7 linked regions of the Coturnix japonica genome follow. Each later gene encodes a partner of the first gene's protein in a complex. Links are inferred from orthologs where the notes say so. Each region holds a gene or a part of one and is shown in the gene's direction. Other genes may lie near its edges.

Evidence for each region.
Region 2: MED1 (region 1) and MED8 share a complex: the UniProt entries of both Homo sapiens proteins name them as parts of the mediator complex. The link is inferred for Coturnix japonica from reciprocal best matches to the Homo sapiens genes MED1 and MED8.
Region 3: the proteins of MED1 (region 1) and RARB are in contact, whole or in part, in a crystal structure (PDB 1XDK), measured with the Mus musculus proteins. The link is inferred for Coturnix japonica from reciprocal best matches to the Homo sapiens genes MED1 and RARB. Residues at the interface, in NP_001073587.1 of Mus musculus: His642, Pro643, Met644, Leu645, Met646, Leu648, Leu649, Lys650, Asp651; in NP_001276689.1 of Mus musculus: Ile264, Val267, Lys271, Phe276, Ile281, Gln284, Ile285, Leu288, Lys289, Pro435, Leu436, Glu439, Met440.
Region 4: MED1 (region 1) and MED4 share a complex: the UniProt entries of both Homo sapiens proteins name them as parts of the mediator complex. The link is inferred for Coturnix japonica from reciprocal best matches to the Homo sapiens genes MED1 and MED4.
Region 5: MED1 (region 1) and MED26 share a complex: the UniProt entries of both Homo sapiens proteins name them as parts of the mediator complex. The link is inferred for Coturnix japonica from reciprocal best matches to the Homo sapiens genes MED1 and MED26.
Region 6: the proteins of MED1 (region 1) and RXRA are in contact, whole or in part, in a crystal structure (PDB 1XDK), measured with the Mus musculus proteins. The link is inferred for Coturnix japonica from reciprocal best matches to the Homo sapiens genes MED1 and RXRA. Residues at the interface, in NP_001073587.1 of Mus musculus: Asn641, His642, Pro643, Met644, Leu645, Met646, Leu648, Leu649, Lys650, Asp651; in NP_035435.1 of Mus musculus: Phe282, Val285, Lys289, Phe294, Leu299, Gln302, Val303, Leu306, Arg307, Thr454, Phe455, Glu458, Met459, Glu461, Ala462, Pro463.
Region 7: MED1 (region 1) and MED13 share a complex: the UniProt entries of both Homo sapiens proteins name them as parts of the mediator complex. The link is inferred for Coturnix japonica from reciprocal best matches to the Homo sapiens genes MED1 and MED13.

The regions. Positions count from the first base shown.
Region 1 is NC_029542.1:3,842,918-3,847,192, reverse strand, and holds the start of MED1 (mediator of RNA polymerase II transcription subunit 1), read left to right. Parts: upstream 1-1,475; 5' UTR 1,476-1,652; coding exon 1,653-1,680; intron 1,681-2,537; coding exon 2,538-2,644; intron 2,645-3,103; coding exon 3,104-3,182; intron 3,183-3,566; coding exon 3,567-3,621; intron 3,622-3,751; coding exon 3,752-3,884; intron 3,885-4,210; coding exon 4,211-4,239; intron 4,240-4,275. Other genes in the region: CDK12 (cyclin-dependent kinase 12), read right to left, coding at 1-719. UniProt on the Homo sapiens protein: Component of the Mediator complex, a coactivator involved in the regulated transcription of nearly all RNA polymerase II-dependent genes.
Region 2 is NC_029523.1:17,388,685-17,392,658, reverse strand, and holds the start of MED8 (mediator of RNA polymerase II transcription subunit 8), read left to right. Parts: upstream 1-1,174; 5' UTR 1,175-1,254; coding exon 1,255-1,260; intron 1,261-3,200; exon of another isoform or gene 3,201-3,218; coding exon of another isoform or gene 3,219-3,224; intron 3,225-3,685; coding exon 3,686-3,804; intron 3,805-3,974. Other genes in the region: KICSTOR complex protein SZT2, read right to left, coding at 1-3, 606-779, 886-1,011, 1,145-1,174. UniProt on the Homo sapiens protein: Component of the Mediator complex, a coactivator involved in the regulated transcription of nearly all RNA polymerase II-dependent genes.
Region 3 is NC_029517.1:34,755,308-34,758,807, forward strand, and holds part of RARB (retinoic acid receptor beta), read left to right. Parts: intron 1-2,479; coding exon 2,480-2,684; intron 2,685-3,500. UniProt on the Homo sapiens protein: Receptor for retinoic acid. Retinoic acid receptors bind as heterodimers to their target response elements in response to their ligands, all-trans or 9-cis retinoic acid, and regulate gene expression in various biological processes.
Region 4 is NC_029516.1:150,965,039-150,967,447, reverse strand, and holds the end of MED4 (mediator of RNA polymerase II transcription subunit 4), read left to right. Parts: intron 1-1,177; coding exon 1,178-1,350; 3' UTR 1,351-1,395; exon of another isoform or gene 1,396-1,528; 3' UTR 1,529-1,909; downstream 1,910-2,409. UniProt on the Homo sapiens protein: Component of the Mediator complex, a coactivator involved in the regulated transcription of nearly all RNA polymerase II-dependent genes.
Region 5 is NC_029543.1:3,359,649-3,362,889, forward strand, and holds the end of MED26 (mediator of RNA polymerase II transcription subunit 26), read left to right. Parts: intron 1-363; coding exon 364-2,058; 3' UTR 2,059-2,741; downstream 2,742-3,241. UniProt on the Homo sapiens protein: Component of the Mediator complex, a coactivator involved in the regulated transcription of nearly all RNA polymerase II-dependent genes.
Region 6 is NC_029532.1:5,859,644-5,863,143, forward strand, and holds part of RXRA (retinoic acid receptor RXR-alpha), read left to right. Parts: intron 1-1,250; coding exon 1,251-1,380; intron 1,381-3,476; coding exon 3,477-3,500. UniProt on the Homo sapiens protein: Receptor for retinoic acid that acts as a transcription factor.
Region 7 is NC_029534.1:6,211,635-6,215,134, forward strand, and holds part of MED13 (mediator of RNA polymerase II transcription subunit 13), read left to right. Parts: intron 1-1; coding exon 2-191; intron 192-708; coding exon 709-1,171; intron 1,172-1,437; coding exon 1,438-1,657; intron 1,658-1,920; coding exon 1,921-2,112; intron 2,113-2,267; coding exon 2,268-2,491; intron 2,492-2,893; coding exon 2,894-3,036; intron 3,037-3,240; coding exon 3,241-3,399; intron 3,400-3,478; coding exon 3,479-3,500. UniProt on the Homo sapiens protein: Component of the Mediator complex, a coactivator involved in the regulated transcription of nearly all RNA polymerase II-dependent genes.

The DNA.
Region 1 (4,275 bases):
GAAGCTCCAGAAGGGCTGTCATCCAATTTTGGGCTGTCCAACCATTTTCTATGGGGACTTCTAGATTTCCGTTTCGGACTGTCAATGGTTTTATAACTTTTGGGAGCATCCCTTTTCCGATGGCTTTTACTTCGCTCTTTGTGGCTGGACTTGAGCTCCCGATCCTTCCTGGACTTTTCCTTGTGCGCTTTGGCTGAGCGGGATTCCTTGTTGCTGCTCTTTGAGGACGGGGCCTTCGGGTGCTCCTCGCTTTCAAGCAGTCTCTTAGAGGACCCCGATACCCTGTCCTTGGTAGACCCGGACCTGCTGGAGGCCTCCAGGCTCTTTTCCAACTTCCTCTCTTTCTCTGCCTGTTTGCTCTTCATCAGCTCACGGATACGTTTGTGCTGGTGGTGTCGATGTTTCTGCGTCCTTTCGCTCCTATCCGCTTTCCTCTCCTCATTCTCCCTCCTGTCCAACTTAAGGGCCAAATCATCCGAGAACGTATCCGAATCCGAACTGATATCATCGTATTCCACCAACGGTTTGATCACAGCTCCCAGAGGCGCCGCCGTCTCTTGGGCGGCCAACGGTGACTCCTTGGAGTGCCGGGATTTATGCCTCTTATGCCTTGAAGCCACCCGGTGCCTCTCCTTGCTATTGGAGCTGCCCGATGAGTGCAGCGAGGTCCCCCCGCCGCCCCCATCCTTCTTCCCCCCATGTCTCTCTTGGTTTGGCATTCCTCCTCCTCCACTGTGCTGGGACAGGGGGAGGCGGGGGCGCTCCTCCAAATCCTCCTCGACTTTCCAACTCCCTCAGCCTCCCTCTATTCGAACCATTCACCGCCCCCCGGCACCTCCTGCTGCATGGGGAGCGGGACGGAGAGAGCGAGGAGGAAGGGAACAACGGGGAGAGGGAGAATGGGAAAGGAACGGAACCGGGAGCGGCGGGGAAGGACACCGGGCCTCAGCGCCTCATCCGAGGGGCCCAGGCCCGGAGGGCAGCGCCGCCGCGGGGGGAGCCCCGGGAAGGCGGGAGCTGGGCCCACGATCCCTCCCGGTCCCGTTGTGTCCGGTTCCCTCCCGCCCTGTCCCAACCCTCAGTACCGGGTTCCCACCGTGCGGCCCCGTTCGGTCCCCGCCGCCCCGGCCCGGCCCAGCGCCCCCCGCTCACTTCCCAAAGCGAAACGGCTCCTCGGCCCAAGGGGGGCACCCGCCAAGTCTCGCGAGATAACTGCTGCTTCTCGCGAGACTCGGCCTGAGCCCTCCCCCCGCGAGATTTCAAGCGCTGAGAATTGGGAAGGCGGAAGGGAGTGCGCGCGCGCGCACCGTCTTCTCGCGAGGTCTGAGAACGAACTTTACTCCGTCCCGGGGAGCGCACGAAGCCCCGCCCCTTCCGCCCGCTCAGCACCAATCAGCATCCAGGGGGCGGGGCTTGAGCGCAACGCCCCGCCCCCTAATCACTCCCCCTTCTCACCATGACTCCCTACCTCTCGCGAGACTCAGAAGTTCTCGCGAGAAGCGGGAGCCGCGGCCGGAGGGATGGCGGCGGGCGCCGCCGTGTGAGGCCGGAGCGGAGCGGCCCGGCCGCGGTTTATCCCCATCCCTTCCCGTTTATCGACGTGATACCGGCCCTGTGGCTCCGCCGCGGGCCGCCCCTCCCCTCCCTGAGGCATGAAGGCGGTGCCGGGAGGCGCTGAGGGTGAGTGCGGCCTAGCGGGGCTGCGCTGTGTGGAGGCGGAGGGAAGGCCCGGCCTCCTCGGGATGGGGGGGGTTCCACAGCTCGAGGGACGGCGGTTGGGCCTGCAGGGAACGGCGGAGCCCGGCCGTGGGGTCCCAGTGGGTCTCTATGGGGTCTCTATGGGTCCCTATGGGTCCCTATGGGTCCCTATGGGGTCTCTATGGGTCCCTATGGGTCTCTATGGGTCCCTATGGGTCTCTATGGGATCTCTATGGGTCCCTATGGGTCTCTATGGGGTCTCTATGTGTCCCTATGGGTCCATACTCACCATGTGTGGGTCGTCGGGTCCCCTCCCCACTTTGGGTCTCTATGGATCCCTATGGGTCCCAGTGGGTTTCTATGGGTCTGAATGGGCTTCAATGGGGTCCCCATGGGTCTCAATGGGTCTCAAAGCTGGGCATTAAGCAGCTCCAGAGCGGGGCTGTGGTGGATGGAAATAAAGGCTGATGGGCTCCTGTGGTAGCGAACCGTTCGGTTGTTTGTTCTGCTTTGATTTGATGGGGTTGGCATTAAGTCCATGACATCTGTGTGTATCAGTTTATAAACCCTTCTGATTCTATAGGCCTTGTAGGGTCATGTTCTATGGCAGTTATGTTGCCATAGACTTGTGTTGGAGCCAGAAATACCTGGTATCAGGGAGATGCCTTCCATAACAATGTAACTTAATAAAGTGCTACAATGAGTTTTAGAGCCCCACAATGTATAGATTGGATTCAGCACACATTTATAAAGGCTGAGTGTGTCCCGGCTTGGAAGGGCTGTGCAATCAGCTCACGTTCTCTTTTGTTTCTATGTTTTCATTCCGCTTTGTCTGACAGAGGCAGAGAAGCTGAATAAGATGAGTGCTCTCTTAGAAAGACTTCATGCAAAGTACAACCAAAACAGACCTTGGACTGAAACCATGAAGCTGGTCCGTCAAGTCATGGTGAGAAGTGCTGGGGTTTCCTTTACAGTGATGCTCAACACTCAGTGTTATCTCAGTCAGATGCAGCTTTGAAATACCTTGGTGAGGGTAGAAAGGAGTGGGAGGCAGGGAAGAGCATCATCAAAAGCTGCTGTATGTGTTGTGGTGTTAAAGTTAATCTCTCTTTGTTTCTCTTGCTCCTCTCATATAACTCGTAGCTTATGCTATTTAAGAAGTTGTTGCAGTCTGATCTTTCACAAGAGCAAGCTTAATAATCAATTCCAGACCTGCCTGTTTTACCCACTGCAAATATGGATATGATTCTGGTACAGGAATCGCAATGAGGGTGTAATTTGGGGATGAAATCCAATCTGCCTTTAATTACCTGAATAAACCTCACTCGACTGAATGAAAATTGCAGTAATTTTCCTCTCATGGAGTGAAACTTTAAAACGACTGTTTTTCTTCTTTCTGACGTAGGAAAAACGACTTGTGATGAACTCTGGGGGGCACCAACATCTGGTGAGCTGTTTGGAGACCTTGCAAAAAGCATTAAAAGGTTGGTACGTGCTGTGCCTGCACTCAGGAAATGCTTAACAGTGATATACTATGGAAATACTCTGTATTAGAGGAACCTGCGAGGTTATTGCTTGCAAAGCTCAGTGTGCTCGTGGTGCTTATAGAAGCATGCTTATTTCTTGTGAGTCATTATCAGCCAAAATTGCCTGTGTTGCTTTTATTCTTATTGCCCATACATGGATTCCACTTGTGGATGAAAATCCACACTGAGAATGTTTGTTTTTCTCTATGCAAAACGATTCTTGTTTTTTGAGTATGGAGTGGGTGTGAGTAAGTAGTTGGGATTGCTTTTAATGCTGATACATCATTACTGGAAAGATGTTCAGTCGTATCACTAAGGCTTATTTTTGCTTTCTTTGTCTAGTGTCTTCTCTGCCTGCCATGACAGATCGCCTGGAGTCCATAGCCAGACAAAATGGGTACATCTTCTCCTTTGTTTCACAGCAGTTTTGTATCTCCTACTTATCTGTATACATCATAATTTTGCTGCTGGTTTGACTGTTTCTTGTGTGTATCTCTTAGTAATTTTTGCTTTGTTTTGTATTTAAGCCTTGGATCACACCTCAGTGCAAATGGCACCGAATGTTACATCACTTCAGACATGTTCTATGTGGAAGTCCAGTTAGATCCTACAGGGCTGCTATGTGATGTCAAGGTGGCTCACCATGGAGAGAATCCTGTGGTACGTATTGCTAAGAAATACAAGAAAAATACCTTTGTTTTTGGAACTGCAGTTTTGCTTCCCTTTTTCTTGTGCAGAGAAAATGGATTGTACTGAACATTCCCCCAAACCTAATGTTATATCTGCTTGTTCTGCTGCTTCTGAAAGTTTCATTTCTGGGGGAAGAATAGGGAAATTAATCTTGTATTTGTGAGTGTTTTGTTGCTTCTCATCAAAACTGATGCTCACAGACTTCACTGTCCTGATATTTTACAGCTGCTGTGCTGCACAAAGACTTACACTGAAGCATTTGATGTTGATTTTGCTGTGTGTTCTTTCCTTTTCAGAGCTGTCCAGAATTGGTGCAACATCTGAGGTGAGCAACAAGAGCTGTTGCATCATTCTGATTTTG
Region 2 (3,974 bases), on another chromosome or scaffold:
ATCCTACAGAAACAGAAGAGGAGAATTATAGAATCATTATAGCTAAGATTACCTTGTCCAACCATCAACCCATTCCCACCACACCCACTAACTGCACCTCACATCTCCACAGCTTTTGAACACCTCCTCAGTCCTTCTGACCACACTAGTTCTGATACAAGCCAGGATGCCTTCTTGGAGACCTGGGCACACTGCTGGCCCATGTTCAGCCAGCTGTCAGCTAACACTCCTAGATCCTCTCCCTCCATAAAGCTCTCAGCCACAGCCCCTAAATCAGCAGCACTGCATGGGGTAAACAAAACAGCTTTTACATCTTCTGGAATCTGCAATCTCATTGCACCCACCACACAGAGACAAGTACAAGCCTATTTCTGCAACAGCAGCTGCCTCAGAACGACCCCTGCAAGCAGAGGTCACACATTCTGCAAGGAAACAGGATCCACTGCAAGGCTGTGTTGCCAGCAGCAGTGCCTGCTTCAGCCCTCAGGAACACAGGACCCCTGCAGGAGTGACCACTAATGCAGGGACACACATGTTCTCAGCAGAGGGAACCAAGCCTGGTCCTTTAACACAAAACACCCCAGAGAGGCAGCTCCTGGACTCACCACGATGCCAGTGGAAGGGCTCAGATCGAGCTCAATGACAAAGCGGTACTGGCGGGCCAGGAACGTAACGCGCGTGGAGGGCACCAAGAGGTAGGGCCGGGGCTGGACGGGCTCATCCGGCTGCCATCCGTTGGGCAGGATGCTGAGCACATCCAGCTCGTTTTCTGACTTCAACTACAACAAGAAGCGAACGACAAGCATGAAACATTACTCCAAGCCAAAGGACACGCCGAGATGCAGGGCCACCATCCACCCTGCAGCACCCCCGGCCCCCACTCACCAGCTCGGGCTCGGGCACAGCCCAGATGACCTGGTGCAGCCGGCTGAGCACCCAGGCGAGCCGCACGTTGCGGGAGATGCGATAGTCCTTCTTCATCAACAGGAAGACGTGCCCAGCCTCCTCCACCTGCAGCAGAAGCACAGCGCCTCGTCACTCCAGGCCGGGCACCACCACAACCCCCGACCTCTCTACACAGTTCCCGGTCTCAAAGCCGCAAACAACCCCGCCTCCCCTCGCCCCGCAGCGCGTTACCCCTCACCTCAGCCTCGGGCCTCTCGGCAGCCGCCATGTTTGCCCGGCGGCCCCGCCCCGCGCCCTCTGACCTGACTCGGAAGTGGAAGGCTGCCATAACAACAGGGCCGCGCAGCCATGCAGGTGAGGGGCTGTATGGGGTTGAGCAGGGCTGTATTGGGCTGGGCTGGGCTGGGCTGGGCTGGGCTGGGCTGGGCTAGGCTAGGCTAGGCTAGGCTAGGCTAGAGGGAGCAGTAGGCCCGTATGGGGTTCCGCTGTGCCCCGTGGGCCGGGCTTTGGAGGAGTAAAGCAGTGTGCCCAGTTGTTCGAGAAGGTCTATGGTATCTTGGCTCGTGGAGGCTCAGTGTATCCTATAGGAGCGGGGTGGTGGGCGTCCCTCTGTGCTGACATTGGTTGAGGCCGCATCTCGAGTGCTGCGTTCTGTTCTGGGCCCCTTAAGCAAGAAGGGCATTGAGACCTGAGCGTGTCCAGAGATTGCGACAGGGAAAGTGAGGGGTGGAGGCATTACAGAGAGCAGCTGGGGGAGCTGGGATGGTTCAGTCTGGATAAAAGGAGGCTCAGAGGGACCCCATGACTCCCTTAAACTCTCCAAATATTTACAATGGGGTGGAGGTCGGCCTCCTCTCCCAGGTAACAGTGACAGGATCCCTTGCTTTCCTAATAAATCCCATTATTACTTTGATTTCCTCGACTTCTTGAGCCTCAGGCTGATGTTTCCCTGGGTTACCCTCGGATAATCCTCAGATCTTGTTTGTGAGTGATAATGTTATCAGCTCAGAGAATGTCATTGTGTGTGTGTAAAGTCAGGGTTGTTTATTTCTCTTTGTTTCATTGTGTGTATTGCTTTATGTTTATTCTGAATTTCACCTTTACCTCCCAGTCATTCATTATCAGGAGTTCCTTCAGCAGTCTCTCCCGTAAATCCTATTTTATTACCCTGGGACAATTCAGTATTGTTAACAGACTCCTTGAATTGCTGCTTGTATATGTCTGTGAGAGGCAGAGTATTTCTTTGAATCATTGATCTTGGTGCACGTGTGCTTTGCGGTGCTTAAACTTACTTCCAGCTCTCATGGAGAGAGCACACAAAAGGAGGAGGCTCAGACTGCACTGTCACACAGTGTAGTGTGATTTCATTCACAATCTTTAGGGCTTCTTGGATACGCGCTGGCAATGGGCCACACCAGTTGTCTTGGTTGTGTGTACCTGCCACCTCTGCAGTGAGATACTGGCTCCCAGCCCAACTCGTAGTGCTGTCAGTGGTTCATCTTGCTCAAACACAACGTGCACAGTCAGCGTTAGACTTGTTTCTTAAGTGCACAGGAACAGACTAGTCCCATCACAGGATGGCGGAGAGCTGCAGTGCTGTAGCTGTGAGTTGTAACCCCGTGGTTTGCTCTGTTAATCCATGCTGTGGATTGGAAGTGGATTTTAGCCACATTTATTTTGCCATTTCTTCTAAGGTAGTGAAGTCTTATCAGCAGTCTATGGAAAAAAAAACAAAACCTTTATAGTCTTGTCAGACCGTGAGTAGAATAATTTCATGTTCTCTTAAATGTGGAAGATACTTGATGATCTCATGCTAGTTTCAGTTTGTTTAAACAGCACAAGGATCCCAATAGTGAGCGTGCAAGCAGACTGAGTCACCCCATCTGCTTTCCCAATCAGCATTCCCTTTCTATTATTTAACTGTATTGCTGTGTCTCACCCTCCTCGTGGATTATTGTTGTACAGTCCTTGACTTACATTAGCAGTCCATTAGGATTGGGGCTTTAATTACATTTTGTGCAATTCTGTTGAATGAGTAAGAATAGATAAGGTTCTAGAGGGTTTTCGCAAGAGTCGGAGATATTCTGTGCTATATGTGACAACAGGTCTCCTCTCCTATTGCTTTGTATGTCACCATACTCCTCTCAGCTAGGGGAGAAGATTATTTAAGCAGTGCACCAAGGCAAAAGGCAGCAGGTGATCTCTGCATGTGTCTAACTACGTCACTGACACTGCAGCGCCTTCCACAGCTGGTAAGGGACAAGGAATTTTTAGGAGCTGGATGCAGCACCTGGACAGGAAGAAAGTGAGAGATGAGGGTAAGGGCAGAAACTGGAGTCTTTGGGCCACTGATCTGATACTTGTTTTGCAAATGGCTGTGCTGGGTGAAGACATCACTGTGCCTGCTGTCAAAGGGTGCTGAGAATGCTAATCTGCTTTCAGCTGGGTTAGCATGAATAACTCACGGAGGTGGTGCAAGGTAACTTTGATGACTTTGCCTGATGCAAGTGATGTATAGGCTTTACTTATCTAGATCTTAAAAATGACAGCTAGCCATGGGTTGGCTCAGGTACGAGTCTCTTCCTAAATGTTTCTTACAAGGAGACAAGATAAGTGTGAAAATGTAGGATTTTTATCTACGTGGTCTCTGTTTCCTTGCCTTGAAGAGGAGTCTCTCCATAGGAGAGGGTGGAATATGGTTGCAGATGTATGGATCCCCACAGTCCTTGGAAAGGTACAAAGCTTTGTCCTCACCCCTATCTTTCATTCTTTTTTTCAGAGAGAGGAGAAGCAGCTGGAGCTGACCCTGGAGGCACTCATCAGCCAGGTGGCTGACCTGAAGAACTCATTGGTCAGTTTTATCTACAAGCTGGAGAATGAGTACGATCGACTCACATGGTAAGGCATCCCACAGAGACAGGGCACTGTCACTGATCGCTGCTGAAGCTCTTCTAGACTCTGCCCAAAAAGTGTAATTAAAAGCCACTAACTTGCTCTCCACAGGCTTACCTTCACTTTTCATGTTAACGTTGGTGAAACTACTGAGTATCTCCCACCCGAAAAACAGT
Region 3 (3,500 bases), on another chromosome or scaffold:
TCTTTTTAGCTGTTTGTAACTGAGTCATAGACACTTCAAGATGTATTCTTTAAAACAAAGGGTCCTTTAATCATTGGCAAGAACCTTATTTATGGCTGCAAGTGGCATTTAAGAGCAGAGTGACAACTAAAATACTTGGCTTAGTTACAAAACCTAAACAGTACTGAAGACATTAGGAGGATGTCTTCTAGACAGTTTAAAATGGGGAAAGATACAGTGATTTCTTATTTTGAAGTGCTGACATTTCCCATATGTTCTTCAGTGACTATGAGCTTGAAATTGACTTTACTTTGACACTGGAAGTTTGCCCAAGAAAGGTTTAGCAGCAACTCAGCAATATCCTTAGCATTTCACAGATCTTGATGAAGGGCATAAATTTAAAATAAATAAATAAAAAACCACAAGAATAAAAAAAACAACACACAAAAACATTTTAAATGATCTGTCTCAGAGTTTAATAACAGTGTGTTGTGGGATAATGTAGAAGGAATGCAGGAGAAACCTGAGAGCTGATTGCTCCAGTCAAGTTAAGTGCATTGCAGAAAACACATAGTTGAGCTTCAGCTGTGCCAGTTGCCCCGTCTGAGCCACTGCAGGCTCATCCAATTAAAGGCTCAAGCGGCATTTAGGCACAAAAGCCTCAAGTCTGCCTTTTGTGAAAAACCTTCCCAGTTGCCGTCTGTGCCTGGAAGTAACTACATTCCATGGGACCCGAAGGTTTTAATCACGAATTGTGCAAGGCTCCCTGTGCCTGCTCACTGGGGCTCTGGGCTCCGTAACCCAGCACCCGACTTGCTCCTGCTGTGGGTGCAGCTTGGATGACTTAGTCCATGTCAGCACTGTGGCAGCTTCAGGCTGCTCCGTGTGTCCTCAGCAGAGCGAGGCCAGCTCACAGGCAGCACTGGGACTGTTGAGGAACCCACAAAATGTGCTCAGCAGGAGGCAGGTTGCTTGGACAATTCTAAGTGTGTAGTTTCTGTTCTTCTAGGTAGGCTCTAAGAGGTGTTTCTTGTTCCAGCAGCTCCCTCCGTGCTCCTTATTATTCCTTTTAAAGATTACAGAATTTTAGAATACCCTAAGTTGGACAGGTGAGGATCATCGAGCCCAACTCCTGGGTGTAAAGGTTAAGAAACAGTGAGTGTGTGGGGAGAGAACCTCCAGCGGTTTCTGTCAGTGTAGGGTACGGTAACCTTGCCATCTTCTATTGACAAGGCACCATGCACTGTAACATTTCCTTCCAGTCACAACCCTGAGGTGAGTGTTGGCCAGCACACAGAACCTCTGCATTCCTCATGGCCAGCAAAAAGGTGTGAACTCATGTCTTCCCTGGAACGCTCTTATCTGTGCTCAGGGTGGGCCAGCTCATCTCACAGAGGTGGACCTGCCAAAGCCAACTCAGCCCTTCCTTGTGCAGCGTCAGGGCAGCACTGAGGCTGCTTGGCCTGGGAGATGCCGGGCTTGGTGTGGCTGCCTGGGCAGGTGTGGTGCTGCAGCACGCGGCTGTAGCTGAGGGGAGAAGAGGAAAAGCTGGGCGAGCTCCTGAGGCTGCCGCGTGCTGCCACGTGAGGGTTCAGAGCCTGGTAATCGGCTCAGAAGGAGTGTGCAGGCCGCAGGACAAGCAGCGCTTTGTGGAGCTGCTGGTGGGGACGGATGGGGATGAGTCAGGGCCCAGGGCAGGAAGGTCGGCACTGAGGCAAAGTGCAGGTCAGGCCTGATGAGTGAAGTAGGAATGTGTGCAGAGATCACCTTAACTGGCATCTATACTATAGCTCCTTGTGGGTGTTCTGAAAGGCAGGAGTGCAGCCCTGGGTCTGTGAGCAAGGAGTAGCCTGATGCTCCTTATGTTGGGCTTCCTTTCCATTTCTTTCTCCCGGCTGAGCATTTGTTCGCTTGCTGATTGAGTTCTACAGTACAACTTTGCTGTCACAGGAGAAATGAAGGAGCCTCAAGAGCTCAGGCTGTGTTCTGCCTCGTTCAGCAGTTGGGGTTTGTACCTCCCAGAAGGCAGATATCCCTTGTCCTACCAAAGTCACAGTGCAGAGCAGCGCTGTCACACAGATGTGACCCCCAAACCAATGAGCAGTTCAAGTATCATGAATGATCTTGCTGGGATCAGAGTGGCAATGCAGTAACGATAGTTTGATGTGTAGAGAGTACTAATTAAAGTGCCATTTATGGGATTATTACAGTAATGCTGATGAGTGAAGTCATGGGAACACACAGAATTTTTGAGTATCTCACAACCAAAGGGAAAGCTTTGAAGTGACCAATTTCTACTACAAAAACAATCGTAGACAGTCAAGTGTTTGTTTATGTGGAGAACTTCGGGGCTACTGGAACTGAACGTACCGGAGTTTGGTTTCAGATTGTTTTGACGTGAGCACGTACTTCAGTTCCACGGGTAATTTGCTGCGTCGGGAGAAGGCAGCAAACCTCTCAAGGGCTGAATTCTTCAGGTTACATCTTTATCCCTCCACAGATCCTCAGAATTTGCACAAGATACACACCAGAACAAGACACCATGACATTTTCAGATGGCCTTACCCTGAACCGAACTCAGATGCACAATGCTGGATTTGGCCCCCTGACCGACCTCGTGTTCACCTTTGCCAACCAGCTCCTGCCTTTGGAAATGGATGACACAGAAACCGGTCTCCTTAGTGCCATCTGCTTGATCTGTGGAGGTACCGTACGGCGGGGAGTCAGATGCCTTTAAAACAACAGACGCATTAAGATCTTCATTTATGCTTTACTTGTTTTGCTTTCCTGTACTAAAATGTGTATATATAGAGAGAATATGTATATGTAGTGTTAGTATGTATTATATACATGTCACCTAAACCAGCTGCACTAAAGGTTTGTTTTCCACTGATGGTGGTTATTGTTTTCATTATTGGTGGGGTTTTAAATAAAATCAGGCCCATCTTATTGACTGCCTCGTGAGGGACTACTGCAGGATATATCCCACTGCTTCTTCCTGAGCAGTGTTTGGGTACCTGCATAACTGACCTGCATTAGGGCAAGAGGCTGGTTGTGCAGCTTTTACTCATAAATACAATTGCATGCATGTGCATAGGGTTACATTCGTACAGAAGTCTCTGGGGATAATTAAGAAAATGCAGGCTGTGCTTCCAAGTTAGCAGAATAGCACTGGTAATGTGAAGGGGGTTCGGGGGGTAGGAGGGGGAGGAGCTGATTCCACCTCAAAAGGGGCACTGCCAGTAAAATCAGGTAAAGCTGTATTTCTGCAACACAAAAAGAAAGTCTAATATTGTTTCCATAAGACTCTTTCGCTTCTCTCAATTTAATCACCCAGTCTCTGTTCCGCTGTGCAGATTCTGGGCTAGCATTAGAAACCCTGTGTTCAGATGGGCCATTCTGTGCAAATGCAAACTCAAAACCATTTTCTTTTTTATTTTTTCTTTTTATTTTTTGCATAATTATGCATTGTGGTGCTTAAAGCGTTATTAGAGAATGACTGTTTTGAAAACAAAAGTCAT
Region 4 (2,409 bases), on another chromosome or scaffold:
ATAAGAAGTCCCTTCCCAGCTTTCTTTTAGTCCCCCCTCAGGTACTGGAAGGTCGCTATAAGGTCCCCCCAGAGCCTTCTCTTCTCTAGGCTGGATGGCCCCAGCTCTCTCAGTGTGTCCTTGTAGGGGAGGTGCTCCAGCCCTCTGATCATCTTTATGTTGCTCCTCTGGATCTGCTCCAACAGCTCCATGTCCTTGTGTTTGGGGCTCCAGAATGGACACAGCACTCCAGGTGGGGTATGAGAGCAGAGTAAGGGGGAGTCTGCTGGTCATGCTTCTCTTGGTGCAACTGAGGACACTGTTGGTCTTCTGGGCTGCAAGTGCACATTGCCAGCTCACGTTGAATCTTTCATCAATCAACACCCCCAAATCCTTTTCCCCAGGGTTGCTCTCAAGCCATCCTCCGCCCAACCTGTATCTGTAGGAGTAGAGATTAGAAAGAAAGGAGCAGAAATGACATACAGATGCACGCTGCAGCTTTGAAGTGGGAGGCAAAGAGGAGAGAGACTAAGAAGTGTCGTGGAGGGAGTTCCCTTGTAGGTTCGTGAGAAATACATGTTTGGAGAGCTTTGGAATAGATGAGGAGAAATAAATCTGAGAGACGTTGGAGGACGCTGGGGTTGGGCTGCTGGGGCACTGTGAGGCATTCCCACCTCCCAGATACATCTGTTTATGGCACTTGTTTTGTAGTAGGACTGTCTTCTCCCTTGCATTTGCTGCATTGTATTTGCTCTTTGAAAAAGGATAACCGAGGTGTTTCTACCTTGTTCAGACTGAACTTAAATCTGAATTCCTGTGCCTACCTTATTCTTTCTTGCTGTAATATTTTCATGTCTTTTTGCATAGTGTCTGAGAGTGACCGTTTTCATAACCGCTGGTGGTTTTGACTGTTAAGTCAGTTCATGTAGAGCTTTTCACCTTCAAAACACAGTTTGAATCTATACTGTTCTGAATTTACTTTTTCCTTTGATGAGAGATTAAGCCACCTACATAAATAAGCCTGTGGCAGAATAGGCTCTTACAGTGATAGAATGACTCCATCACAAGGTGTTTTTCAGCTGTCCAAAAGCCAGTCATGTTTTTAAGATTTGCTTGAATTTTACACTGTTGTTTGAGCTCCCTTGTTTAGATGGTGGACACACACAACTGATGGCTTGATTATGCTCCTTGTTTCCAGATGTGCTCGCTCCTCAGTATCCTTGGCAGTCAAGTGATATGTCAATGAACATGCTACCTCCTAATCATAGTAATGACTTCATGTTGGAGCCTCCGGGACACAACAAAGAGAATGAAGATGATGTAGAAGTGATGTCAACAGACTCCTCAAGCAGCAGCAGCGACTCAGACTAGGTACAGGAGGGACAGTATCCCTAGTAGACCTTTCCTGTGGTGAAGGTAGGTTGGATGCTGTTATTCAAAGTCCCTTTTATTTATGCTGGCAGCCCCATGCAGGGAGAAGATACAGCAAGCTCAAAGAGTGGCTAATTTCAAACCATGAACTTAAAATTTATATATCTTTTCCCATTAGATGTTCAACTAAAATGACTGGGAGCTTTCTGCTGGATGAGGGATGTCAGATTTCCAGTGCTGATGTAAATGTGTATGTTTGCAAGAGATGCGTGCGTTTGTATATATATTTACTATACATATTAGAGGACAACGTTCCTGGGACAAAAGGTGTAAGGGGAATCCCCTCCTATGTTTGCTAGTAACTTGACTCTTTTGAAGATGGCCTTTTCTATGGCACAGAAACAAGGCATAACATTTGTAATTTTAATACCTTTTTTGTTACTGCTGAAATGCACGTTGTTAATCACATAGTGTGTTCTGAGAACAAAACCATGGCAATAAGGTGTTTAAAAAATGTTTGTAATTACTGTAATATACAATAAACTCACCTTTGATGTAACTTTGCTGCGCTTTGCAAACATAAATCTTTAGGTTTATTGCGTGAATTCATTAGTCAGCACATTTCATCTCAGTGTGCGTTTGATTTCGGATTAAGTTTTAGAAGCTCGTGGTCCTTTTTTCCCTTTGCAAAGTGCAATGTTGTTATTAGAAGCAGCTGAGCAGTCAGCACCTGCAGGTCTGTTCTTTTCAGCTGAGCCTATTGGGTACATACAGCTGCAGAGCCTGAAGCAATGATGTACAGTGCCCAGTCACCAGACCCCACAGATATTTTGGTCAGGTATCCCAAGGTTGTGGATGCTTTGGAACATACTGCAGATTCAGCTCTTTTCAGTTCAGAAGGAGCTCACTTATTCTTTAGTCTCCGTCACCTATATTTTTTTTCAGTTCTTTGAACCTGTTTATTTGTTTGCTTCAGCAATTGCATTTTTACCTTCTTTCATCTTTCCAAAGTCATTTCCATTGGCTTTCTTTGTTCTCTTTTGCTTAGTGACTCATATG
Region 5 (3,241 bases), on another chromosome or scaffold:
GAGGTGCTTTTCTGAAGTAATCGACTTGTAGAACAATTCTTTGCTTTCAGGCATGTTTTGGGAACAATCTCTTTGCTTCCTTCCACTTACGGAACCATGTTGGGACAACCTAGGAAAGCTCATTTGTTGGCCTTTTGAGATAGGGAGCAAAGATGGAGGAAGAAGATAGGACATCACGCTTTGGTTTGTGCAGTGGAGATTTATATTTGTAACATATGGATTAATTCAGCTCTTGCATCTGTAGCATTTTGTACCAGGCTTTTCTTAGGGTAAGCATTAAAAAGCAGGAATTTAACTTAAAAATGGGGTCAGAATTTTGTTTTGAATTATGCCTGTTGGTAAAACAAGTTTTGTGTTTTGTAGGAAACAAGGCTTGGGAGGCTTATCAATGAGGTGAGGAAGAAGACATCCAATGAGGAACTTGCCAAACGTGCCAAGAAGTTGCTGCGGAATTGGCAAAAGTTGATAGAACCTGTAACCCCAAATGAGGCGGTGCCAAGAGGGCTGCAGAATCCACCCGGATCAGCAAATGGTGGTGCTCACAACTGCAAACCAGAAGCACCCCTTCCTGCCGTGGCTGGGTCAAAACCTATCAGTGAATTGAAAAGCAGGAACGATATCCAGAAACTAAATTCTCCAAAACCAGAGAAATTGGGAAATCGGAAAAGGAAAGGTGAACACAGGGATGGGCACCAGGGCCCCCCTCCCACCAAGGTCTCCAAAGTTAGTCATGAAATATTACAAAACTCTTCATCCCCTCCAACAAACGGAATTGGAGGTAGTCCCGAGAGTTTTCCTAGTCCTGTAGATGTAAATCTACATGCAGGGCCTGAAAGCAGCAGGACAGAACTTAGTGAAAATGATAAACACAATAAGATCCCAGTAAATGCTGTAAAACCTCACACCAGTTCTCCAGGACTCGTAAAACCTTCAAGCACTTCCTCGTTATTAAAGACTGCAGTGCTTCAGCAGCATGATAAATTGGAAGAAACCACCGGGTCGCACCAACCCAAGAGTCCGCGCTGCTCCTCGTTTAGCCCTCGAAATGTTAGGCACGATACTTTTGCTCGGCAGCATACCACGTACTCACCAAAGGATTCAATGCCTAGTCCATCTCAAAGGTCTCAGTTCTTAGATACTGCACAGGTGCCATCACCGCCACCATCCTTGATGCAACCATCAACGCCTCCAATGCCAGCTAAAAGACTGGAGTTCTCTCAGCAATCAGCATCTGAGGTGTCCCAGCACTGGCAGGAGCAGCAGGTACCTTGTGACAGCCAGCACAGGCACACAGCAGGGACACTTCCACAGCACACATCTCCCAGTTGCAAAACCAGCTCCCACCCGGGGGAATCTCTCATGTCGCACATCGGCTTTTCACAGGACGCTTCAAAAATGGACAGTGATGATGCTGCTTCAGGTTCAGATAGCAAAAAGAAGAAAAGGTACCGACCTAGAGACTACACAGTCAACTTGGATGGGCACGTGACAGAAGGGGGTGTGAAACCTGTGAGATTAAAAGAGAGGAAGCTCACTTTTGATCCCATGACAGGACAGATAAAACCTTTAACACCGAAAGATCCTTTGCAGGTAGAAATCCCTGCACTTACTGAACAGCACAGGACAGAAACGGAAAAGCAGGAGCAAAAACCCAACCTGCAAAGCCCCTTTGAACAAACGAACTGGAAAGAATTGTCCAGAAATGAAATAATTCAGTCATATTTAAACAGACAGAGTAGCTTGCTGTCTTCATCAGGAGTACAGACTCCAGGAGCTCACTACTTCATGTCTGAGTATTTAAAGCAGGAGGAAAGCACTAGAAAAGAGGCTAGAAAGACTCACGTTCTGGTTCCTAACAGCAAACCTACAGACTTGCCTGGGGTCACGAGGGAGGTCACGAATGATGATCTCAACAGAATACGTGAACATAACTGGCCAGGCGTGAACGGTTGTTATGATACACAGGGTAACTGGTATGATTGGACACAGTGCATATCTTTAGATCCACACGGGGATGATGGTAGATTGAACATCCTGCCTTATGTCTGCCTAGACTGAGTAACAGGTTTGCTAAAATGCTTTTACATTCACAGTTAGCGAGAATGGCAGACACTATGCCACTTAAAGATGGAGAAAGCCTCCTGTCCTGGACAAATAGGCCCAACGAGCAGAGGGTGAGAGGGAGCTGGTTACGTACAGCTCTTCCCTTTAAATTCTCCTTTTGTGAAATGCTGCTACCAGTTTACTAACAATTGCAAAGGAAGGCATACGAAGGTTGAGAAAACTGAGTTCAAAACTCTCTAGCGAGCCAGCTATAAAAAAAGTGTTAGTCCCCAAGAAGTGAAGATGATTTCCAGCACTTTCTGAATGCCGGAATCTGACGACAGGCAGGTACAGAGAAAATTGTGGAAGTTACCTTAACAAAATATGCATCTATTTATTTGACTTGATTTGGATTTTTATTTGGCAGTGAGGTATTCAAGAGACGATGTGCAAAAACTGTAGTTTTATTTGTATGGCATCTCTGAACATGATTGTGTTTTTTTTTAAAGTCATGTGGTACGGAGATTGGCTTTTAAACAGCAGGTGTTGCACTGCAGGCTGGGAGACCAGCTTCAGCTCAACATTCCATGGGCATCCACATGTTTCAGTCTGGTTTTGGTTTAAATCCAGTCTCTGAGAAATGCTGCAAAAAAAAAACCCAGATATTTCCTGACATTTTTGATCCCGCCGCCACCAGCCAAATATTTTCCTCCTTTTCCCTTCCTGCAAAACTACTAGGAAACAAAAAACTAAATAAAAAAATCACCTTTTCTAGAATCTAAATGTAACGAGGGTGCTACAAGTCCGTAACTGTACTGTGAGAGGGAAAAAGGAAGCCTGTTTGTATGCTGGAAATATACTTGTTACCATTCCTTTAGATATTGTTTGCCTTATGGATATCCATCATAAACGCAATTTGCAAAAACAAAGAGCCTTAGTGAATGTACAGTACCTAGACTTCTGTGTTCCTGGGATGCAGAAGGGAGCAACTTTGCTATTTGGTCCTTTAAGTGGACACATTGTGATATAAATGTGGAAATAAAAAAAAATTTGCACAAAGCAGTTTGTGAATTATTTATATTGAACTAATTTATTTTTGAAGATCTGCTCCATTCCAAGTAACAGAACCCAGTGGAGCCGTGCGGGTCCCACCGGGCAGTGCCAGCCGCTGCTGTTAGGGACGTAGTGATGTCTTCCA
Region 6 (3,500 bases), on another chromosome or scaffold:
TGAGCTCTCTTGATAAGCAAGTGAAGCTGGGGGACCATCCCCATAACGCTCCCCTCGACCCATGGTGCTGAGTGCCAGCCCGTCCCCATCCATCTCTGTGAGCAACAGGTGAGAATACTTTGAAGGCGGGTGTTCCTGCTCCTGCCAGATGCTGGTTATTTTAAGCCTGGAGATGAGAGATGTTGGCCACTGAGACACAGAGGTGGTGTTTGCTGCCAGGAAACAGCAGAGCCACCCAGGCAGGGGAACATAGGAATGGCTCTGGGCAGAATTGTAGGGCTTTTTCCTTTTCTCAGAGTGGCATTTCTCATCTCCCTTTGGTTTGTGAGCACACGGTCAGCTCTGCAGTCAGTAAGGGAAGGGTTCTTTCCACACTGTTTTAGTCTCTGACCTTTTCCCTTTCAATCCCCTGGGGCCAATGCATCCCTTATGGTGTGCTCACCTCCTGCTCCCTCCATGCAGCTGGGTAAAGGGCATGTATTGCATGCAGAGAGTCCCCCAGTGTACTGGGCAGGTACCCCAAAGTCCACAATATTGAGGGAATATGAGTGGAAAAGTGAGAAGTCAGCAATGTGGGTGGCAGAAAGAAGGTGAGAAGGAGGGAGCACACCATGGGACACAGACATGTGCCTGGGGCAACTCCTGCCTTGCCTGCACAGAACCCATGCCCCAGCCTCATGCAGTGCAGAGGTGCAACAAACACTCCTCCTCTGAGTTTGAAACTGTTCTTTTAAGGACATAAAGAAAAATAATTGTACAATCAGAGCTGCTAGGTATCAGTGGGGATTACAGCGGGATATGTGGAGGGGCTCATACATCCTTGTCCGGAGAGGTAAACCATATATACACACTTGTGCTGGCAGGGTCTGTCTTTGCTGGGGTTAGACGGTCTCTTCCCATTCCTAATCACAAGTCCACTTGAGCTGTTAGCAGTTCCTTTAAACAGGGATTTGGTGTGTTTAGGCTGACTGTCCTCCTTGAGAGCAGATGGTTTGTGTTACTGGGTAATATTTCAAAGGAGAGGGTTTTTCTCCTTACTGTGATGCCCGCTCCATGCTGTGGGGTGCAATGAGGAGGTGCTTACACTTGGGCTGTGCACACTGCAGGGTCCCTGCAGATGATACCCACTTAAATTGAGCACAGAGCTCCCAAACTTGGGGAGCAAGCAGGCAGCACCCCCTTCCCTCCTTCTCCTACTCCTCCCATCTTTCTCCTTGCTTTCTCTAAACCTTTCCATCTCCTCTTTGCAGCCTAATGACCCGGTGACGAACATTTGCCAGGCGGCCGACAAGCAGCTCTTCACCTTGGTGGAGTGGGCCAAGAGGATCCCCAGGTTCTCTGCGCTGCCATTGGACGACCAGGTCATCCTGCTCAGGGCCGGTGAGCCCCGATGCACTGCATCCCTCAATGGTCACGCTGGGATTTGGGTGCTGGCAACTGGAGAGGCTTTAGCTGCATCTGAGGAATAGCTTCAGATCATTCCACTGCTAACTATGATTGACAAAGCCCCAAGGGATGTATTGCTGAATGGGATCCAGAACGTTGCACCAGCTGCCAATGGGCTGAAAAATGGCCCGGCCTTGTGTGTGATGAACGAGATGCTCAGGAAATCAAGGGCATGATGTGCCAGCATCCTCCTGAGCTGGGACTGGAAAGACAAGGGGGTTTGAGTCTGTCTGAAATGTCATAGAACTGCAATGTTTGATCATAATTAAAAGCAGACGGGGGAGAAAAATATATATCGCCTTCCCACTCCCACCCACCAAGATGAAAATGAAGTTCTTTGGGTTTATTTTAAATTTCCTTATGCTGCAGGGGGTCTGGGAGGTTACAGGCTGTCAGCTGGGAAGGAGGTCTTCTTCCAGCAAGTAAACGCAAGCCTCAGCTGCTGGCAGGTCCTTCACAAGGGCTAATGGGGGGGGGGGGGGAGCAGGAAATTACAAGCAGACTCGATGAGGGTGCTTTGTAGGCACGAAGCTCTTCACATAGCTCTCATCATCAGAGAAGTGAGTACAAAGGCTTTGAGTCAACGCAGCAGTTTTGTTCCCTGAAACAAAGGGGCAGGCAAGTTGTTGGTGGGACGTGGGAAACCCCTTCCAGCAAATGACAAACTCAGTGGGAAGGAGGATGAAATTGGGATTGGAAAGGAAAAGACCTCAGTAGTTTTAATGTTCCCATATTTTCCTCCAGATGCACTTAGAGTTGTATCCCAAGTGCATGAATCCTAATAGTTCCTAAGGGTGGTGAGACATTGGCACAGGTCGTATCTCTGCAGACAGCCAAGGTCAGACTGGAGGGGCTCTGAACACCCTGCGGAGCTGTGGGTGTCCTTAATCACTGCAGGGAGTGGGACCTGATGGCCTTAAAGGGACCCATCCAACTCAAACCATTTTGTGATCCTGTAATTGCTGCAATTGTTTGTCTAAAGGGGGCTGAGGAAGGTTGAACAAGAGATTGAAGGTTGAACTGATGCTGTCTCAGTGTTGGTGAAGGGAGGGTGGGGGCTGCAGACACCATCATGGAGTTTTGTCATGGGTTCATAAGCATGAGGAGCTCCCACAGGTTCCCCACTCCCAGCATCTCTGCAGGGGCCTCAGATAACCTCCCCCAAGTCCTTTAAGCTGTGGCTTTATCTATTATTGAGTGGCGAGAGCACAGCTGCCCATGAAATATTTAAGTATTAAAATATAGCTAAGAGCCTCCATCAGGTGCACTCATGCATCCTCTGAGGCAAAACTAAGTGGAGCACGCATGGAGGAGCAGTGCTGGGTGGTGGCTGCAGCCTTCCTCTGCAGTCCTGAATCATTTAAAACCTTCCCTCTTTGGGCTTTTTGGAGGAGGAAACCCAACTTTTTTTCAGCTTGTTTTGCCTGGTTTTCCTTTGTGCCAAACCTGCTACGGCTGAGACAGCAGTAATGTTTTATAGGACTGAGAGGGGGAGAGCCTGGTTCTGGTTCCTTTTATAGGGCTGAGCCCACAGCACCTTTCCATGAGTCACCATCTCTCCAGGTCCCCTCCAGCTTCCTGCAGTCTCTCTGTTCTCAGTGTTGCAATCCCTCTGCAAGTGCCAGACCTCACCCAGCGTGTAACCAAATAAATGGTCCCTTGATTGGGGCGGAACCGTCCTGTGGCCACTTAGGGAACAGTGAACTTTATTCCCTGGTAATGCTTTGAGTGGCACAACCCATTGCTGCAGCTGTAGGTAAACACAGCACGCATGGACCTTGTGTTTATTGCAGTCAATGAGAAAAGGCACATTGCTGTGGATGGAGGGGAGCTCAAGCTGGTTTCCAAGGCACGGTCATGGCCATGTGGGATGCCCATGGAGCAGTGCTGCTCCTCCAGATACCGAGCTACAGAAGCCATGCCATCTCAGCCATTGTATGCACTGTTGCCAGGGCAATGGATGTGGCTGATTCCCACACTGTGAAGATGCACGGTTCTGAACCATGGCCTTTCTGTTGTTTTCTCTGCAGGTTGGAATGAGCTCCTCATCGCCT
Region 7 (3,500 bases), on another chromosome or scaffold:
GTCATGCAGACTTGGCCAGCATCGACCTATCTGTAAATTTTTGCCTGATGGAATCATGAGAGTTGGACCCACTGCTTCAAAGAAACTTTCTGAGAAGCTGGTCACAGAATGGTTCTCACAGACAAATAATGCCAACAATGAAGCATTTTCCAAACTCAAACTGTATGCCCAAGTTTGCAGATATGAGCTGGGTATGAATAAATATATATATATTTTACTCTTATTTCATGGAGTTACCACCTAATCCATTGCAGAACAAGAGAAATCATTGAATTTACTTACTGAATCTACTGTTTGTTGCAGTTTTCTGATTTTAAACTAGAAACAAAAAAAGGCAGAAATCCCATATCTTTGCATATGTTCTAAAATGGCTGCTTATCATCAGTATTTGTTAGGGAATGGCAGCGCTATTGCTTGATAGAGACTGCTACTGTTTTTCCATTGCTGTCTTGTGTTCTGAGGCAGTGATTTCTTGCTCAAATTCTAATGACTGGAAAACAAAAGCTACTTTTGAAATAGATTTGAGTGTTTCTGCAACTGTTATAAGACTATTAAAAACTGTAATGTTAATGCTTGCATTCTTTTGAAAGATAAAACATACACTTAAGCTTTATTCACTGTTTTGTTAAAACTGCTATAGGTTCAGTTTAAGTTTGCTCAAAACAGTTGCAGTATAAAATGTATGGATTTTTTTCCCCTTGTTTTTAGGTCCTTATCTTGCTTCTCAGCCTTTGGACAATTCGTTACTTGCCCAAACAAATCTGGTCCCTCCCTCAAGCCAACCAGCCTCTGCTCTGCCCCCCGTGACAGCCAGCACTGGAAATCCCAACACTCCGTCTGCTCCTGCAGCTTCTACCAGTAGTACTATGACAGCAACGTCAAACAGTGCCATGTCTTCTGCAGCTACTACAGCTAACTCAACTTTGACTACTACTGCCACGTCATCCTCTTCTGCTAACATAGGCAGTGGGATCCCAACAAGCAAGCCTTCTTCATTTCCACCTTTTAGCAGTATGAACAATACCACTTCTGCTGCTCTGCCCTCTCAGGCTGCAACGGTCCAAAATGGGCAAACAGGAGGACAGCAGCAACAGCCAGTGCTGCAAACAGCAGGGATGTCTGGAGATGCTACTACAGCAACTGCACAGCCCCACCCAGAGGTTTCTGAAAGGTAATGGAACTGTTAAACCTCATTCAGCCAACAGAACTGTGTGCTGATGAGCTGCTGTAAGAAGGAAGGCAAAAGAAAAAAAACAAGTGATGCTGAGCTGCTGGCAAGCTCACATACAAAACTGAATTATAAACACAATTTCTTATGCCACAGTTAACTTTAAAGGTCTTTAATCTTTGATAGTTTGGTCTTAGTTCTAATGTAAGTAAAAATAAGTCTGTCTCAAACTCAGCGTTTTGTAACTGCTTGTAAAATTTCACTTTCAGCACTATGGATCGTGATAAAGTTGGAGTTCCTACAGATGGAGATTCACACGCTATCACCTACCCACCTGCCATTGTAGTTTACATAATCGATCCTTTTACGTATGAGAAAAAGGATGAGAGCAGCAGCTCATCTAGTTTATGGACACTTGGACTTCTGCGCTGCTTTTTAGAGATGGTTCAGGTTCTTCCTCCGAACATCAAGAATATAATTTCTGTGCAGGTGAGCCAACAGCCACAGAAACGTGCCTAACAAAGCGTCTTTGGCTTTAGCTGTGTTTTGGAGGTGATTATGCCCTTCTTTTATTCACTGAGGGAATTTTCAATGAGAATGATGACCTGAAGTGCAGTGTGGCTTTAGAAGTGGCAGGACCTCAAAGAATTAGAGATGATTGTACAGTTAAATCCTGAAAGCAGCGTACCCAAATACTATCTCAAAAAATGTAATAATTAATCAATTTTATTTCCCTGTGTGACCTGTTGTAGATCGTTCCGTGTCAGTACCTTCTGCAGCCTGTGAAACACGAAGACCGGCAGATTTATACTCAGCATTTGAAGTCTTTAGCGTTTTCAGCGTTTACTCAGTGTCGGAGACCTCTTCCATCTTCCACCAATGTGAAAACATTAACTGGCTTTGGCCCCGGCTTAGCCATGGAAACAGCTCTTAAGAGCCCTGATGTGAGTATTCTTATGATTAATGTGGTTCTGTTAATGTGCAGATGAGAGAAATGTCCCTTTTTATTAAATCATTGGTGTCTTTTACTTGAACTGAACAGAGTTCTTAATAGTAATCTCTACTTGAAACTTCATTTTCTGTTCTGTTGTCCTTATAGAGACCTGAGTGTATTCGACTGTACACCCCTCCTTTTATATTGGCTCCTGTCAAGGACAAGCAAACAGAGCTTGGAGAAACCTTTGGAGAAGCTGGTCAGAAATATAACGTGCTTTTTGTCGGCTACTGTTTGTCTCATGATCAAAGATGGCTTCTTGCATCCTGTACAGATCTCTATGGAGAACAGTTAGAGACGTGCATAATTAATATAGATGTACCGAACAGGTAAGTACCAAACTCCTTTTGATTTTTAACATGTATATATTCTTTCTTTCAAAGAATCATTTTTATCAAGATGATGTGAGAATATCTCTTGCTTTTGTTGACCCACTGTGCTGCAAATTTAAACCAAGTGGATAATTTCAATATGATGTGGATATTGAGTTAAATTTCTAGAAGGAATGTCCTATGGCCTCCTGTGATTGGAGAGTGCTTTGGTTTGTGTGATTTCCCCTTCCACCCCTTCCTCTGGCTTTTGATGTTAGTGTTACAATGTGATGAATGAAAAGCAAACCAATCCTTGTGTCCTGTGAACATTCAGGTTGGTACAAACAAGTTCCAAAGGTGGCAATAGAAGTTTGTCACAGATGGATTCCAGTTTTGTTTTCTCTTCTGTTTTAATTCTAGAGCTCGCAGGAAAAAGGGCTCTGCCCGCAGGCTGGGGCTTCAGAAACTCTGGGAATGGTGCCTGGGACTCGTGCAGATGAGCTCTTTGCCTTGGAGAGTCGTAATAGGCCGCTTAGGAAGAATAGGACATGGGGAATTAAAAGGTAACGTTTGTGCTTCAGTGTCTAAAAGTCGATTTGAAGCTTTCTTTTTAAATAGTATAGTGTCAATCTCTTTCTGGAAGAAAACCTGGGTGAAGCATATGAAGGAGCTCTAAGTTAACTCACAAATACTATGTCATACATAGAATAAGCATTCTTCAGCAAGTGTTGTTCTTCTAGACAAATCTATGTCCTTTGTATCCTCAGACTGGAGTTGTTTGTTGAGTCGCCGAAACCTTCAGTCCCTCAGTAAGAGGCTGAAAGACATGTGCAGAATGTGTGGTATCTCTGCTGCAGACTCTCCCAGCATTCTCAGTGCTTGTTTGGTAGCAATGGAACCGCAGGGGTCCTTCATTATTATGCCAGGTATGTGAGAAACGCTATTTTGGCAGGGGAATTAATTGTTTGTTTTGTACAAAACTAAGGAAATGTTTTTCTTCCAAAGATTCTGTATCTACCGGCTCTGT